Linked DNA regions of Anolis sagrei. The protein of the gene in region 1 purifies or fractionates together with the protein of each later gene. This does not show direct contact. Links are inferred from orthologs where the notes say so. Each region holds a gene or a part of one and is shown on either strand. Other genes may lie near its edges.

Region 1 (7,900 bases):
ATAAAAATATACAATTATTGGGCAATCCAACAAAGAGAAGATCTAAAACCTTCCTCCACAGACTAGTTTACACTTGCCACCAAGCCTTAGAACACTATTTTGTAGAACTGACTTTTTCAGTTATATGAACAGGAAACCATTAATGCATGAAAGATTTGTATGGAAAAATGATAACTCGAGAGACAGAAATTTGAAGAAAGTTTGGCTTCTTCTCAATGCCACTCCTTAGCTGCCTGCCTAATCTTATTTCACAGTCTTCATAATAATATGCCTGAGTGCATATACATATTTCACAAATGTGTTTCACATATATGTCAATGATCCTCAGAAAGTTTGGTGAATTTAGGATTAAACTCATAGAAAACATGAGAGTCTCAAACAAATCGAACAGCTACTCTAAGGCTATCTATAGTTTGTAACTAGACTCAGAAGGGATATTCTCTGATCGAATGAAGCACTACACCACAATAAAGTCCCGAGACATCAGGCTTTTGGGTTTTAATTTATCATCTACACTGTTCCATGGAACTTCTCTCCAGCCCAAAAGAATAACATTGTGTTAACATTTGTGTAATAAACCTCTTAATAAAAGCAAGATTCTTCAAAACAACAGAAGACAACTACAGGTTATCATGGTCTGAAAGTCTGAATTCTTCTTTTAATATAGCCGAGGTCAAAAAGTTCAAAAGTCTGCATACTGTAGAGATATGAAAACTAGGAAAGCAAGTTTCAGATAAAAGAAGATAGATAACAAGCAGTTAGTTTGAGAATGGATTATAGTTAAATACTAAAGATTAGTTAGTGTTTTCCCTTTTCTGCAGTGAGTAAATCCAAAGGGATACTATAGTCAATATATGCAGTAAGAGCATGAAGAGATCCATGGTGGTATGATAGCACCTTTCCTTCTTTTATTCTCAGTAGCATGTATTCTGTTTAGTAACCAACAATAGCCTTACCTTCTATCAGTTTCTCATTATTTGCTTTTAAAGCTATCCAGGTTGTTGCCTATCACTGGATCTTGTAATAGTGAAATTGCCTTGTTTACTATATATTGTATAAAGAAGCAATTATTTTACCTGTCATGTATCTCATACAATTCAGCTTTATTCGATGACCCAGTTATTAGTGTTATGAGAAGCAAAAAAAAAGTCTCCTTATCCAGTTTAATACTTTCCCTACACTATGCATAATTTTAAACACATTTATCCTACTCCTCCCCATTCGCCTTTAAGATGAAAATATTTCACCGGTAGTTGACAGATATTAAGTATCAGAATGATTTCAGAACTGATGAGAGAAAAAACAAAAAAGCACTACAATGAAAGCATGCCCTGTAAAAAACAAAAACATGCACACACGCACACAATACAAATAGCAATTTTATTAGAGACTCCTAATGTCTTCATGATAGGAAGACAAAGAAACTGTTTATTTCATCCAGGTCTTATGATAGAACTACTACTTGGTAAAGTATGTAGGTAACTACCAACATTTGGTGGGCTCTGTGAAAAGGTCTGCAGTGTAGCTTTTCTGGACAGGCGACCTTCCAAATCAATAGTGCACCAAAGCAGCATCCTTTCACACACAAAACCCTAACCCTAAACAAAGCCCCAAAACACATTGACAGAAGAAGAGACACAAAGCTTAGTCTGCAGTGAAGGGTAGACATCTAACATTTTTAAGAGCAGTGTAGAAGGACACGGTTAGAAACATGCCACTTCTCTTTTTCTGCAGGGCTACTTACTGCTTGCAAAGCAATCCTTTTTCTAAATTACTCTCTCCTTTCCCTGAGACACAGAGATAAGAGATTATGTTTTTCCAAAAACCATCTGTGCCAATGGAGAGGCTGAACAGAACTCCAGCTTTTACACACCTTTGACAATTATAATAAAATTACAGGAAGAGAAAAAAGCACAAGAACAATATAACTTCAAGGTCATGTTAATCCAGCTCTCCTGTGTCTCAGTCCATGAAATAAATGACACTTTGAATCACATCCTACCCATTCCCTTCACAAATGTCCCATCTTATGTTCTTGAATTGTATGCATTATTTGTTGTGGAAAGTGTGCCTGTCAACTTATGGTGACTGGCCCACATGAATTTCATAGGATGTTATTAAGGCAAGAAATATTTAAAGGTGGGTTTGCCAGTTCCTTCCCCTAAAATAAAGCCTAGCCCATCCAAGCACTAACCAGGGTTGACCTTGCTTAGCCTCCAGACTGAAACAAAATTTGGTGCTTTGGAGTATTCTCTGTCTGTGGGGTACGTCTAAACCATAGAATGAATGCGGCTTGACACTATATTCACCGGTATGGCTCAAGGCTATAGGATTGAGGGAGTTATAGTTTTACAAGGTCTTTAGCCTTTTCTGCCCAAGAGTGCTGGTGCCTTACTAAAGTACAACCCCCAGGATCCCATAGCATAAAGCCATGACCGTCAAAGTGGTGTAAAACTGCATTAATTCTACAGTATAGATACAGTATATAGGGTTGTATAGTGTTTTAAAATTTATTTAAATATGTGTTTATATTGTTGTGCTATTATGAGATCACTTTCTGTGTATATCATTTATTGTCTCAATTTGCTTGATTGTAAGCCACCCTGAGTCCCTCTGGGGAGATGGTGCGGGGTATAAATAAAGTTTATTATTATTATTATTATTATTATTTATTATTATTATTATCCAATATTTACATCCCATTATTTTGCCTGGTGGTGTGTGTATATACATGTGTATAGGTTTCCCTTGACATTAAGTCTAGTCGTGTTCAACTCTGGGGGGTGGTATTCATCTCCATTCCTAAGCCAAAGAGCTGGCGTTATCCATAAAGGCTCCCAAGGTCATGTGGCCAGCATTATTTATTTATGACATTTCTATGCCGTCCTTCTCACCCCGAAGGGGACTCAGAGCGGCTTACAAAATATATATACATACAATATATTATATTATTAGCATAGTACAATATCAGTATTATATAATACTATATTGCACTATATCATTATATTGCAATATTATTAGTAGTATTTTATTGTATTACATTATAATATTATAAGTGATCACAACAATATGCATTTATTTATTTATTTATTTATTTATGGCATTTGTATGCTGCCCTTCTCACCCCGAAGGGGACTCAGAGCGGCTTACAAGATATATATACATGCATGACCTTCCCACTGAAGTGGTACCTATTGATCTACTCACATTCGCATGTTTTTGAACTGCTAGGTTGGCAGAAGGTGGGGCTAATAGTGGGAGCTCACCCCGCTCCCGGATTTGAACTACGAACCTTTCAGACAACAAGTTCAGCAGCTCAGTGGTTTAACCCGCTGCATCACCGGGGGGGGGGCATACATGTATGTACACACACACACAATTTATATATTTATTTTTATTTACATATCCTGTCTTTCTCCTGGTATGGGGTCAGATGGATGGATCCTCTCCCTCCCTTTCTTCCATAAACTGTAAATCTACGATCTATTAGCATTCTGAATTAATCTTTGCACTACGTATTTTAATAAAAAGCCTTTTTAAGGTGTTGTGTTTTATCCGGGTGTTGTATAACCATTCTGGAACAGTAAGAAGAGGTGGGGAAGAAATAAATAATTATTGACCATCAATATCAGGCTTAAGCGGCTGAGGGGGAAAAGGAAGGGGCCTGAAGCTATTAGGAATGGTGGGAGTTGAAGTCCAAAACACTTGGAGGGCCCAAGCTTGCCCATGCCTGATCAATCTCATGCTTACAAAACATCCCAGGAAGAAGATGCCTGGCCCAAGGTCACACAGAGGAGTGGGGATTGGAAATCCTCCTCCCACACGAGGATCAGGTGAGTAGATCCCCTCACAACCTCACATCGACTCCCTTGCACTATAAACATGGTGTGAGGGAAGGGGTGGCCAAATACAAAGGTCCCAGGACCTTATTGTATAAAAGGAGGGCCCTCTGCCTTCACGTGTGGATACCACCAGAGGCACTCCAAGTGGCCAGATGCTGGTCAAAGGACATTTAATCAACTACCAAACTCACAAATTGTGTATTCTGTCTGTCTGTTTGCTTTGTTCTGTTAGAAATGTAATATAATATGACTGGTCGTCCTGACACGACAAATAAATACCGCCAGAGGCCTCCAGTCTTCACGCGTTTCCGCGCTCACACGATACACTGACCCGGGTCACCTCCAATGAGCCTCGCCTTTCCCTACCTGCTGGGTGATTGTACAGAGGGCGCAGCCGGGGAGGCAGCATGAGCTCAATCCGGTCCAAGAACCGGTGGTAGGAGGCGCGGAGCCCCGCGGTGGCGGCGCCCGCCATCCTGTGTTACTCCGGCGGCGAAGACCCCTGCCACTCGTCCGCGTCCTCCTCGCTCTCCTAACCGAGTGAGCCAAGAGCCAGGTGGTGGGACGATCCCGCTTTCCTTCTCCGTGATTGGCTCGCCGGATAGGACGTGGGCGGGGCTTGGACAGCCGATCCTTATGCTATTGGTTAATGTTCCTTACAAGCTTCTCACCCGGCGTCGATGACAACATCACGGTCCTCTTTTGATGACGACAGAAGGGAGCGGGACGACAGTTGATGACGACACCGGCTATTCTTTTGGAAATAATCAACATGTTTCTCTACGCTTCTTGGCGGCGAAGGACACACACCAAAGCGTTTTTTGAGCAGACATGAGGGAAGTTTTTAAAAACAAAAAAGAAGCTGCTCTTTGAAAGGCGGTTGTTTGTTTTCCCAAAGGAGGTCATGACAGGAAGGGACGACCGCTGCCACCTGACGCCATTTTCTCCCAACTGTCAGAAAGGACGCGGAGGGAAGTCTCGCGATGCTTTGGAAAGGACGTCGCGGGAATTCCTAGAGGAGAAAGGGGGCGGAGCCTACCGCCGCGGTGGCTCCTTGCTTGTTTTGCAGGAGAGGACGAGAGAAGAAGGGAATCGCTTGCGGCCCGGCGGCTCGTGGCGGAGGAGGAGGTGGTGCGCGCGCGCGCCCTCCCTTTCCCTCCCTACTAGGCGCGCGCCCGCGGGTTTCCATGGTGAAGGTGGCGGAGCGCGTGCGGGCGGCCTGCGGAATGGGCCGCGGCTGATGCCTCCTTCTCCTGCTCGTTCTTCTTCTTCGGCGGCGAAAGCGACCCTCGTCCTCCTCCTCGTCGTCCTCCTGGTGCCATGTCCCGGGGGTGCTGCCCCCACCTGCTGTGGGATGTGAGGCAGCGGAGTTTGGGCCTGGAGGAGCCCGGCCTGCTGAGGAGACGGTACCTAGGTGAGGGAAGGGCAAGGCCTGGCGCCTGAGTAGAGGGGGAGGCCGGAGAAAATGGTGGAGCGGCCCGCGGTGTGTGTAGACCAGGCATAGGCCAACTTCGGCCGTCCAGGTGTTTTGGACTTCAACTCCCACAATTCCTAACAGCCGGTAGGCTGTTAGGAATTGTGGGAGTTGAAGTCCAAAACACCTGGACGGCCGAAGTTGGCCTAAGCTTGGTGTAGGGAGAGAGTGCGACTTGAATGCCCTTTAAATATCTTCACTCTTATACAGCCTCTTTGGAAGCCAAGTGCAGGCAGCCCCTAAGCTACAAACAAGATGGGTTTGTTCTTAAGTTGAATTTGTTTGTAAGCTGGGACAGGTACAGTAGAGTAAAATGATAACACTATAATAAGTAGTGTAAAATAATAAATGTAATAATAACAATAATATATTATAACTTTATTTGTACCCCGCTAGCATCTCCCGAAGGCCTCAAAACACAATACAACAATACAATACCTAACGCAAATTAAAAACAGTTAAGCAATATGAACAACAACAATAAAACAATACATCAAGACACTATAAAACTGGGTAAAATAATAGAGTAAAATAAATATAATATAACAATAATAAATAGAGTAAAATAATCATAGAATCAAAGAGTTGGAAGAGACCTCATGGGCCATCCAGTCCAACCCCATTCTGCCAAGAAGCAGGAATATTGCATTCAAATCACCCCTGACAGATGGCCATCCAGGACTTCGGTTTAAAAGCCTCCAAAGAAGGAGCCTCCACCACACTCCGGGGCAGAGAGTTCCACTGCTGAACGGCTCTCACAGTCAGGAAGTTCTTCCTCATGTTCAGATGGAATCTCCTCTCTTGTAGTTTGAAGCCATTGTTCCGCGTCCTAGTCTCCAAGGAAGCAGAAAACAAGCTTGCTCCCTCCTCCCTGTGGCTTCTTCTCACATATTTATACATGGCTATCATATCTCCTCTCAGCCTTCTCTTCTTCAGGCTAAACATGCCCAGCTCCTTAAGCCGCTCTTCATAGGGCTTGTTCTCCAGACCCTTGATCTTTTCAGTCGCCCTCCTCTGGTTAGGAGTAATAGTAGTAATAATAATCACAAGCTACACAAAAAGGCGTAAAATAGACAGTACAGAAATGCATTTAATTTAACAGAACTGTTTTTCAGTTGACCTGGATCCCAGAACAAGGAATTTCCAGGACAACATCATGGTTCTGCCAATTGGCAGAGCAGGGAATCTTTCAGACAACACAATCGCAACCCACAGGCCCCCATCAGCTCATCCCTCAGCAGGTCATTCCCATCTTGCAAATGTTTATGTCTGGCTGCCTCCTTTTATGAAGGAGGCATTTACCTTCCTCATCCACCTCCAGCCATTGGTGGGGGGCTTAGACCACCGAAATGACTTATTCGGCCCATTCTATGACGAGGTAATCCTGGGGGTCCTCTTCCATCATCGTATCTTGAAGTGGAAGAAGATGTACACCCTCTCGTCAGGTCTGGATGAATAATGCTCTGGAAAAACATAACGACAAAGCCTGCTATTTCCCAAAAGAAGTCAGTTATAGATGAGAAGCTCCATGGAGCTTGGCTCTGGTTATCCAACACTTGTCCGTTCGAAATGTAAACCATGGCTGTGCTGCGCCACTTCCTCGCAACACCTCTGCCCCACAATCCCAGATCCGACTCCCTACGAGGTGTTCCCTTTTGCCCCGCCCCTTCACGAGGAAAGCCCAACAATAATAATAATACACTTTATTTATATCCCCGCCACCATCTCCCCAGAGGGGGGACTTACATGAGGCCAAACCTGGTGATACATTACAGCAAAATAAATACAGAGTGGCAAAAAATAACATCACAATGAAATAAGTAAAACATACAAGTAAAATAAAACAGTGCAAAATAAGAAAGTGAAAATCAAACACAGTGGGCGGGCCAAATGTACGACATAAAATGACAAAACTTTGGATTAGATAACAATTAAAAAGGTATATTTGTAAGGGAGGAGCTCATAGGGGACGGAACAATGGAGTCAGGCCTTCAGTAAGGTGGGGGTAATAATATCAATATCAAGTAGTGAAAAATAATAAATGTAATAATAATAAGAGTAAAATAATAAATGTAATAAAAATAATAATAACAGAGTAAAATAACCAATAATCTTGATTCAAGTATAAGCCAATTGCAGGCTTTTTCAGCCTAAAAAAGGCCTGAAAAACTCATACTCAAGTATATATGGTATACACACACATATACACACAAACACATGCACACACACACACATAACTCTTCATTTATACCCAGCTTTTCTTCCTAAATGGGACCCAAAGCGGCTCACAACATATATATATATATATATTTAAAAAATACAGATCCAGCATACATATAACAAGAGGCCCCTGGTGGCACAGCGGTTAAACCACTGAGCTGCTGAGCTTGCTGACCGAAAGGTTGACTCCCGCTGTTAGGCCCAGCTTCTACCAACCTTGCAGTTCAAAAACATGCAAATGTGAGTAGATCAATAGGTATCACTTCGGTGGGAAGGTAACTGCACTGCATGCAGTTATGCCAGCCACATGACCTAGGAGTCATCTACTGACTAAGTCGACTCTTCGGCTTAGAAATGGAAATGA
Region 2 (7,841 bases), on another chromosome or scaffold:
CCTTTGCCCCAGAAAAATGAAACATCCTCTTGTTTGCTTTGTCTGGCAGGCAGGGAAGTTTTCTTTGGACATTTTGATTGAATCACAAAGGGACAAGGCTGACCCCCTGGGGTCCCTGTTTGTTCCCTTCTCAAAATCCATCAGAAGACACACCTTATCAGGTCTAAGGCAGGAAAACCTTTCATAATGAAATCAACCTTTGCTGGCCAAAACAATGCCTAACCAATCAGAGAGAAGCCGAGTGGAGAGGGGCGGGCGGAAAAATTTGAAATGTTTTCCTGTATTTTGCCTATAAATATGCCTGTATCCCTGTGCTCCTGCATGCTTGTGGTGGAATGATTCCTGCAATGCATCCGATCTCAGCTGAATCGCTAATAAACACCTCGATGCCCCTTCTTCGCTTTGGCAAGGGGCTCATTTCAATTATTAATCTATATATATAAATTTCCTACTGGCGTCCAACGGGGAAGCAAAACTCTAAAACCTCTCCACAAAACTCTACCAAAATTGCCATGCCCCAAGGACAACCCACTAGGTACAAACTAATCCACTCTGAAATCAAAACCACACAACAACAACCACAAAAAACGGGAAAGCAACTGAGCATGCGCACTGGCGCAAACTCCCCGACGTGCGCGCACATATGGCCCCTCACTCTCCCCCCCTCGGCGCGGCACACACACATACACCCGCACGCGCGCGCCCCCTCACCCCCCCGGCGCGGCACACACACACACATGCGCGCGCACCCCCTCACCCCCCCGGCGCGGCACACACACACACACGCATGCGCCCTCACCCCCCCCCGCACGGCACATACACACACACGCGCGCCCCCCTCATCCCCCCCGCGTGGCACACACACACACGCGCCCCCCTCACCCCCCCCCCCCCGCGCGGCACACACACACGCCCCCCTCACCCCCCCCCCCGCGCGGCACACACACACACACGCCCCCCTCACCCCCCCCCCCACGCGGCACACACACACACGCGCCCCCCTCACTCCCCCCCCCGCACGGCACACACACACACACGCCCCCCTCACCCCCCCGGCGCGGCACACACACACGCCCCCCTCACCCCCCCCCCCGCACGGCACATACACACACACACACACGCGCCCCCCTCACCCCCCCGGCGCGGCACACACACACGCGCGCGCGCGCCCTCATCCCCCCCCCCCGCGCGGCACCCTTTCTAAACCCATCCCCCCTCCCTTCCTCCCTCTTACCCCTCACGTTACCTCCAAGCCACGCCCCCTTCTAATCTGTCAAGGAAGAAGGGAGAGAAAGAGGGAGGGAAAGAAAGAAGGAAGGAATGAGGTAGAAAAGGAAGAAAGGAGAGAAAGAGGAAGGGAAAGAAAAAGGGGGGGGAGGAAGGAAAGTTAGAGAAGGAAGAAGAGAAGGAAAGAAAAAAGGGAAAGAAGGAAGGAAAGAAGGAGCGAAGGAAGGGGGGAAGATGTAGAGAAAGAGGGAGGGAAAGAAAGGAAGAAAGAGAGAAGGAAGAAAAGAGAGATTGCAGAAGAGAACAAGGAAGAAGGAAGGAAAGAGGGAGCGAAGGGAGGGGGGAAGATGTAGAGAAAGAGGGAGGGAAAGAAAGGAAGAAAGAGAGAAGGAAGAAAAAAGAGACAGCAGAAGAGAAAGAAAAAGGGGGAAGGAAGGAAAGCGATAGAGAAGGAAGGAAGGAGAGAAGGAAAGACGGGAAGGAAGGAAGGAAGGAAACAGGGAGTGAAGGAAGGAGGGAAAGAAGGGGAGATAGGGGGAAGGTTGGCCACAGCAATGTGTGGCGGGTACAGCTAGTATTAAATAAAATTGCTGGAATCGGGCTTCTCTGAAGGCTTGCCAAGGTAGCGTTCCCTCTTTGGTGGGAACTAAGGGTCATCTCCCCTTGGAGTTGACCTCCCACCCTAAAGTCTAGTTTGGCTTCACCAGTGCTGGGCCAGGCCAGGCCAGGTGGGTCCCACCCAACGCAGTGTAGCAGCCTGTGTCATCCCTGCCTTGTGCCCGTCTGCATTGGGAGATGAGTCAGAAGCCAAGCCACTTTTGAGACCCCGGTTCAGAAATGCCTTCTGCTCCAAACTTGAAACGGGCAGGAAGGGAGAAGCAACTGGAGGAACGCAAGCCATGATGCCACAAAGCTGACAAGGAGAGAGAGAGAGAGCCAAACACCTCCACCCATTTCCAGGAACTGCCAGGGGTCATTTCCCCCAAAATCTTCAAGAACAGGCCAACGTCTCCTCAAGTTCCATCATTTGATCCCCACTCCAAAGGCATCAGATCCCGTCTGATCCTGGATGAAAAGCAGGTTCTGCCTGGGTGGGTCTCCTGGGGGTGACCTTTCAGAGGAAGGAAATCACCTCCTTGGATGAAATGCGTGGGGCTGGCACCAACACACACGTGGCCTTGACACCCCAAAACACTGAGTCCTGTCTGGTTTGGGGAGTTAAGCAGTGTCAGCCCTGGTTTGTAATTGGGTGGGAGACCGCCAGGGAATCCCAGGTTCTGTAGACTGCGAGTTGAAGGAAGGGACTGGCCAAGCCACCTCTGGGTCTCCCTCGTCAAGGAAATCCCATTGAAATGCTTGGGGTGCCTATCAGTCAGGAGGGGACTTGAAGGCCCAGACCCACACGATGCCGGACCTTGGTCTCTTTCCTCCAATTTGGATGGCCAGCTCCTGGAGGATGCTGGGAGTGACAATCCCGGAAGCAGCTTCCCCAAGGCCAGGAGGCCTGTCTGTGAATCCCAGGTGCCGTATTTACTTGAGTCTAACACACCATCGACTCTAATGCGCACCTCAATTTCCAAAACCCTGAAACCAAAATAGAGTATTTGCTGACCAACATAATGTTTAGCGGCGAAAGATGCACTCTTTGTAGTTTGGCCCCAAAAGGTGCGCATGAGAGTGGCTGCCTGATTAGGGTTCCTTCGTTAAAAACAGAACGGGAGGGAGCGCCAGACCGTCCAGCAACGGAACTGTCTTGGTTCAATGCCATGGAGTCATCTAATTTGACACGGTTTTGAGCCTTCTTGGCCAAAGAATGCTGATGCCTCACCAAAGTCCACATTCCCAGGTGACGTGGCCATTCAAGTAGAGGCGAGGCCAATCAAAGAGGAGCTCCAGGGGGTCCTGAAGCCATTCTAATATGTCACCACCCTAATTTTGGCAATGCCATTGAGCCAGAAAACAGAAAGCATTAGATTCGAGTAAATAAAACATTGGCGGCAAAAAAAGCCAATGGGATTTTGGCCTGCATCAAGAGGAGCCTAGTGTCTAGATCTAAGGAAGTGATGCTCCCCATGCTCTATTCCGCCTTGGTTAGACCACACCTGGAATATTGTGTCCAATTCTGGGCACCACAATTCAAGAGAGATATTGACTCTAAGCTGGAATGTGTCCAGAGGAGGGCGACTAAAATGATCAAGGGTCTGGAGAACAAGCCCTATGAGGAGCGGCTTAGGGAACTGGGCATGTTTAGCCTGAAGAAGAGAAGGCTGAGAGATGATAGCCATGTATAAATATGTGAGAGGAAGCCACAGCGAGGAGGAGGGAGCAAGCTTCCTTTCTGCTTCCCTGGAGACTAGGATGCAAGGGAACAATGGCTTCAAACTACAAGAGAGGAGATTCCATCTGAACATGAGGAAGAACTTCCTGACTGTGAGAGCCGTTCAGCAGTGGAACTCTCTGCCCCGGAGGGAGTGTGGTGGAGGCTCCTTCTTTGGAAGCTTTTAAGCAGAGGCTGGATGGCCATCTGTCAGGGGTGATTTGGATGCAATATTCCTGCTTCTTGGCAAAATGGGGTTGGACTGGATGATGGCCCAGGAGGTCTCTTCCAACTCTTTGATTCTAGGATTCTATGAAATAGAGGATTTCTCAGACAGGAAAGGGCACCGCGTCCTCTGAAGGTTCCTTGCCCAAGAAAAGCCCCCCTCTAGATCACTCTACGTCCGCAGGCGACTTGGAGGCCCAGAACAAGAATGCCTCTGGCCTTCCTGACCCATTGCTGAGCCCCTCCCATTTCCATCCCACAGGCCCCCTTGCCTCCGCAAATCCGGGCCCTTCCAAAATGGGGCAATGTGTGCCTTGTGGGTGTTAGTGGGGCGCCCATCCCAAGACCTTCTTCCACCTTTCCATGCAGGCTGAAAGGGGGGGTCCTTCCATGGGGGGAGTGTAAAGGCCGGCCTATGTGTATATTGGGATGTTGGGGGGCGGGGAAGGAGACCGGGCGTCTTCTCTCCCCGCATTCTGGGCATGGAGGAAACCGGATCCCGGTGTCAACAAATGAGGCCGGAATATTCGGGATGCAAGGAGGCAGCTGGGGAGGGGGCTCGGCATGGCATGCGAGGGGGGTGGGTGCTCGGCATGCCTTCCCCCCGGGGGCCCTCCCCACGGCAGAGACCTCAGTGCAGGGGCCAAGGGAGCAGACCCCCTCTTCCCCCTCCCCCCAAGGAGGGAGACCACCCAACCCTGCGGCCTCCTTCTCCATATGGGGAGGGTCTATTTTTACCCCTCCGAGGATGGGGCTGCCGTCAGTCCCTTGCCATTCACTCAAGTCAGGCCAAGGGTAGGATTTCGCTCTCCCTGAGGGTCCCACACACACACGCACTCACACACACATATCTGCACAAGACACAGCCAGGAGTGGCTTGGCTAAATTTGGTAAAATGCCTGGCCGGCCAATGAGCAGCCGAGGAGGAAGGCCATTGGCTGACCAAAGAGCCACCTCCCTTGGTGCCCAATGAGGGCAGTGTGGGCGGAGCCGTGCCCAGTTGTCCAGGTATAAAAGGCCGTGCCAGAGCCTCGGACGGAGCGGTTTGCCATCTGACCCGGAGAAGCAGGTGTGGGACCCGTCGTCGTCGTCACCAGTGGCCCTTCTCTCTCTCGCTCTCTCTCAGTGGGGTGCCCTTAGCCTGCCAACATGGTAAGACCACGGGTTAGGGTTAAGGTTGGGGTTTGCATGGTCAAGGAAGTGGTTTGCATGGTCAAGGAAGGGCGGTTGGGGCTGGACATGAGGGCAGAAGATGGCAAGGGACAGGGCAAAGGTTACGGTGAAGCTGAAGGACTCTCTGGTTGAAGCTGTTGGTGGTGGGGTCATTGCAAGGAGTGGAGTGGGGCATTTGGGTCTGGGGGAGGCCGATGGGGCCAAGGAGGGTCTCAGAGTCATCGAAAGGAGCAGAGCCAAGAGTCCCCTTGGCTGGGTCAGATCCTCTCCTTCAGGGTGGACAGCTCCGAACTCTACAGCCGTGTGGGCTGGACGGGTCTGGCTTGGGAGTCCAGCCAAGGACGCAGCAGCAGGGAAAGCGAGCTGCCGGTCACAAGGAGGCTTCATGCTTGCCCACCCACCCACCCGCCCGCCCACCAGAGACGAAGCCCCAAGGAGTAACCCGATCCGAGGCCGACAGGTGTTGCGTGGAGCAGCTGGTGTCCAGCCCTGGCTCCCTACAAGGCCCGAGCCCGGGGGCCACGGCTAAGAATAGCCCGGGATCAAGGAGGAGCGCCCTCCCCCCCATCGCCACAGGCGCCTGAAGATCCAAGTGGACAATGGCATCTGGCCGGAGAGGACGAGGAGGAGGAGGAGGAAGAGGAGCAAGGCCAGGATGGAGCAAAGCAGCCATGAAGCCTCCAGAAAGGCCACCCAATGGAAGCCAAGTTATCCTGGACTTGCCCAAGGGACCGGACAGACCCCACTTTGCAAAGGCTGCCCTGGAATGGGATGCTTTGGGGCATTTTTGAGCCAATGATGTCCACCTTGGCCACATGACTGGCCGGTCACCCTGGTCCACAAGGGCCTGGAGCATCTCTGCAGGGAGATGCCTGGAGGCAGCAGCCTAGTTCTGTGCGGGGAATTCAAGTCCATCTTTCTGGCCAAAGCCAGTGAAGCCCTATAAGAGCCAAGGGATCTTTGGTGGTCCACAGAGAGGGGCCCAATGGGGACAGGGAGGGAGTCTGGCCGTCTGTCGGGAGGGGTCAGGTGTTGCCCTTTCCTGGACTTTGTGCTTGCCTTGCAGACGGACCAGCAGGCGGAGGCCCGGTCCTACCTCAGCGAGGAGATGATTGCTGGTGAGTCAAAAGGTTGGAGATGGGGTGGTGTCTCTGGGGGCAAGGAAGCCTGGCTTGGCCCTGGGTCAGGGGAGAAAGCCCACTCATTGGAGGGCCAGCAGTGACCTGGGTGGGTCAAGCGCTTGACCATTGCCGTGGCCAGAGCAGCTCCCTCACAGGACTCACTCCGCAGCCTGGCTGCCTGCCTTTCTCCCTTGCGGAGCCACAGAGAAAGCAGCTGGACATCCATCCATGAAGCTGACCAATGACAAACAGTCCCAGGGGTGGACAGAGGGTGACACGACACCAGGCCCTGAGAGCATCCCCAGTGCAGAGGGAAAGGTGCCGCAATCCCTTACAAAGAGGCAGCGGAAATCCAACTGGTGTGAGGGCAAAGGCCTTGACGGAGGGAGCAAGGGGTCAGAGGGTCAAGTGCTTGACCCTTGCTAGGGCCCCTTCTGCCTAGCCCTGACCTTCTTGCCCCCAATCCCCAGGAAGGCTTTGGAAGGGAAGGAGCAGGTGGAAGGGGCACCCAAAGGCCACCTAGCCCAGGTGCCTTGAGAAGGGCATTCCTTTCCTGGCAGAAGGGGGTCAGACTAGGTGGCTCCTGGGAGCCCTTCTTGCAAGATAATTCACCATGGCATCCAATGACAAACAGCCCCAGGAATGGAAAGAGGGGGGGGGGAAGAGAGTGACCAGACATCAGGCCCTGAGAGCATCCCCAGTGCAAAGGGGGTCGGAGGGTCAAGTGCTTGACCCTTGCTAGGGCCCCTTCTGCCTAGCCCTGACCTTCTTGCCCTCAATCCCTGGGGAGGCTTTGGAAGGGAAGGAGCAGGTGGAAGGGGCACCCAAAGGCCACCTAGCCCACCTCCCTTCTCAGAGGTGCCTTGAGCAGTGCGTTCCCTTCCTGGCAGAAGGGGGTCAGACTAGATGGCCCCTGGGAGCCCCTTCCAGCAAGACAATTCTGCCGAGAGCCACAGCTCCACCTTGCCATTCCCGTCCATGCCATTTCCCTTCATTATTATGGGTTGTTTTTACTGCCTGCGTTTCCAAGGGGCCTCAGGGAACTCACAGTTGGGGGGGGGGGGATGCCAAAGATAGAAACAGTTAAAGGCAGGTATGGGCCATCTTCGGGCCTCTCTCCATGGGTGTTAAGCAGCTGAGATGGAAAGGAAGGGGCCTGAGGCTGTGGGGAATGATGGGAGTTGGAGTCCAACACCCATGGAGGGAGGGAGGGCCCAAATTGGAGGAGACGCTCAACTTCTCTTGAAGTTGCCCAAAGGCCAGGCGGAAAGACACTATCAGATCCCTCCTGACAGATAGGCATGCATCCATCCATCCTCTGCTTAAAAACCTGTAGCAAAGGGGAGAGAATCCTGGGGTCCTAGAGAAGGAAGGGACCCCAAAGGCCATGCAGTCCCACCCCCTTCAGCCAGGCAGGAAGATGATTCAACCCCTCCCAACAGATTATGACCCAGTAATAACACTTTATTTACATTCTGTGATGAAATGAAAAGGATGTGTAGTTCTAGAAACTATGCCATGCAGACGAACAGTACATAACAAGTGGTTTACTCTTCGTAACTCAGAACAACATATGTACAATCCTGTGGTCAGTTGCATTAATTCACATAATGTCCTGTTATGAGAGATTTAGAAAGGTTTTTCTTTTGTCCACGTAGAGAAACTCCTTCAGCAGCTCGTGAAGCAAAAGCACACTCCAAACTCCGTCTCCCTCTGCTTCTCTACAAGCACCGGCATAGCTCAAGCCTGAAAAATGTAACAGTATTCAAAAGTCCCAG

The links. The genes of interacting proteins can lie anywhere in the genome.
Region 2: the proteins of DCAF6 (region 1) and TNNC2 purify together in Homo sapiens (affinity purification with mass spectrometry; 3 studies listed by BioGRID and IntAct, with this or other methods). This does not show direct contact. The link is inferred for Anolis sagrei from reciprocal best matches to the Homo sapiens genes DCAF6 and TNNC2.

What each region holds. Positions count from the first base shown.
Region 1 is NC_090023.1:51,576,089-51,583,988, reverse strand, and holds the start of DCAF6 (DDB1- and CUL4-associated factor 6), read left to right. Parts: upstream 1-4,850; 5' UTR 4,851-4,970; intron 4,971-5,125; 5' UTR 5,126-5,162; coding exon 5,163-5,256; intron 5,257-6,623; coding exon of another isoform or gene 6,624-6,896; exon of another isoform or gene 6,897-6,927; intron 6,928-7,900. Other genes in the region: MPC2 (mitochondrial pyruvate carrier 2), read right to left, coding at 4,209-4,317; SELENOK (selenoprotein K), read right to left, coding at 6,624-6,896. UniProt on the Homo sapiens protein: Ligand-dependent coactivator of nuclear receptors. Enhance transcriptional activity of the nuclear receptors NR3C1 and AR. May function as a substrate receptor for CUL4-DDB1 E3 ubiquitin-protein ligase complex.
Region 2 is NC_090024.1:248,918,521-248,926,361, forward strand, and holds the start of TNNC2 (troponin C, skeletal muscle), read left to right. Parts: upstream 1-4,800; 5' UTR 4,801-4,918; coding exon 4,919-4,921; intron 4,922-6,008; coding exon 6,009-6,060; intron 6,061-7,841. UniProt on the Homo sapiens protein: Troponin is the central regulatory protein of striated muscle contraction. Tn consists of three components: Tn-I which is the inhibitor of actomyosin ATPase, Tn-T which contains the binding site for tropomyosin and Tn-C.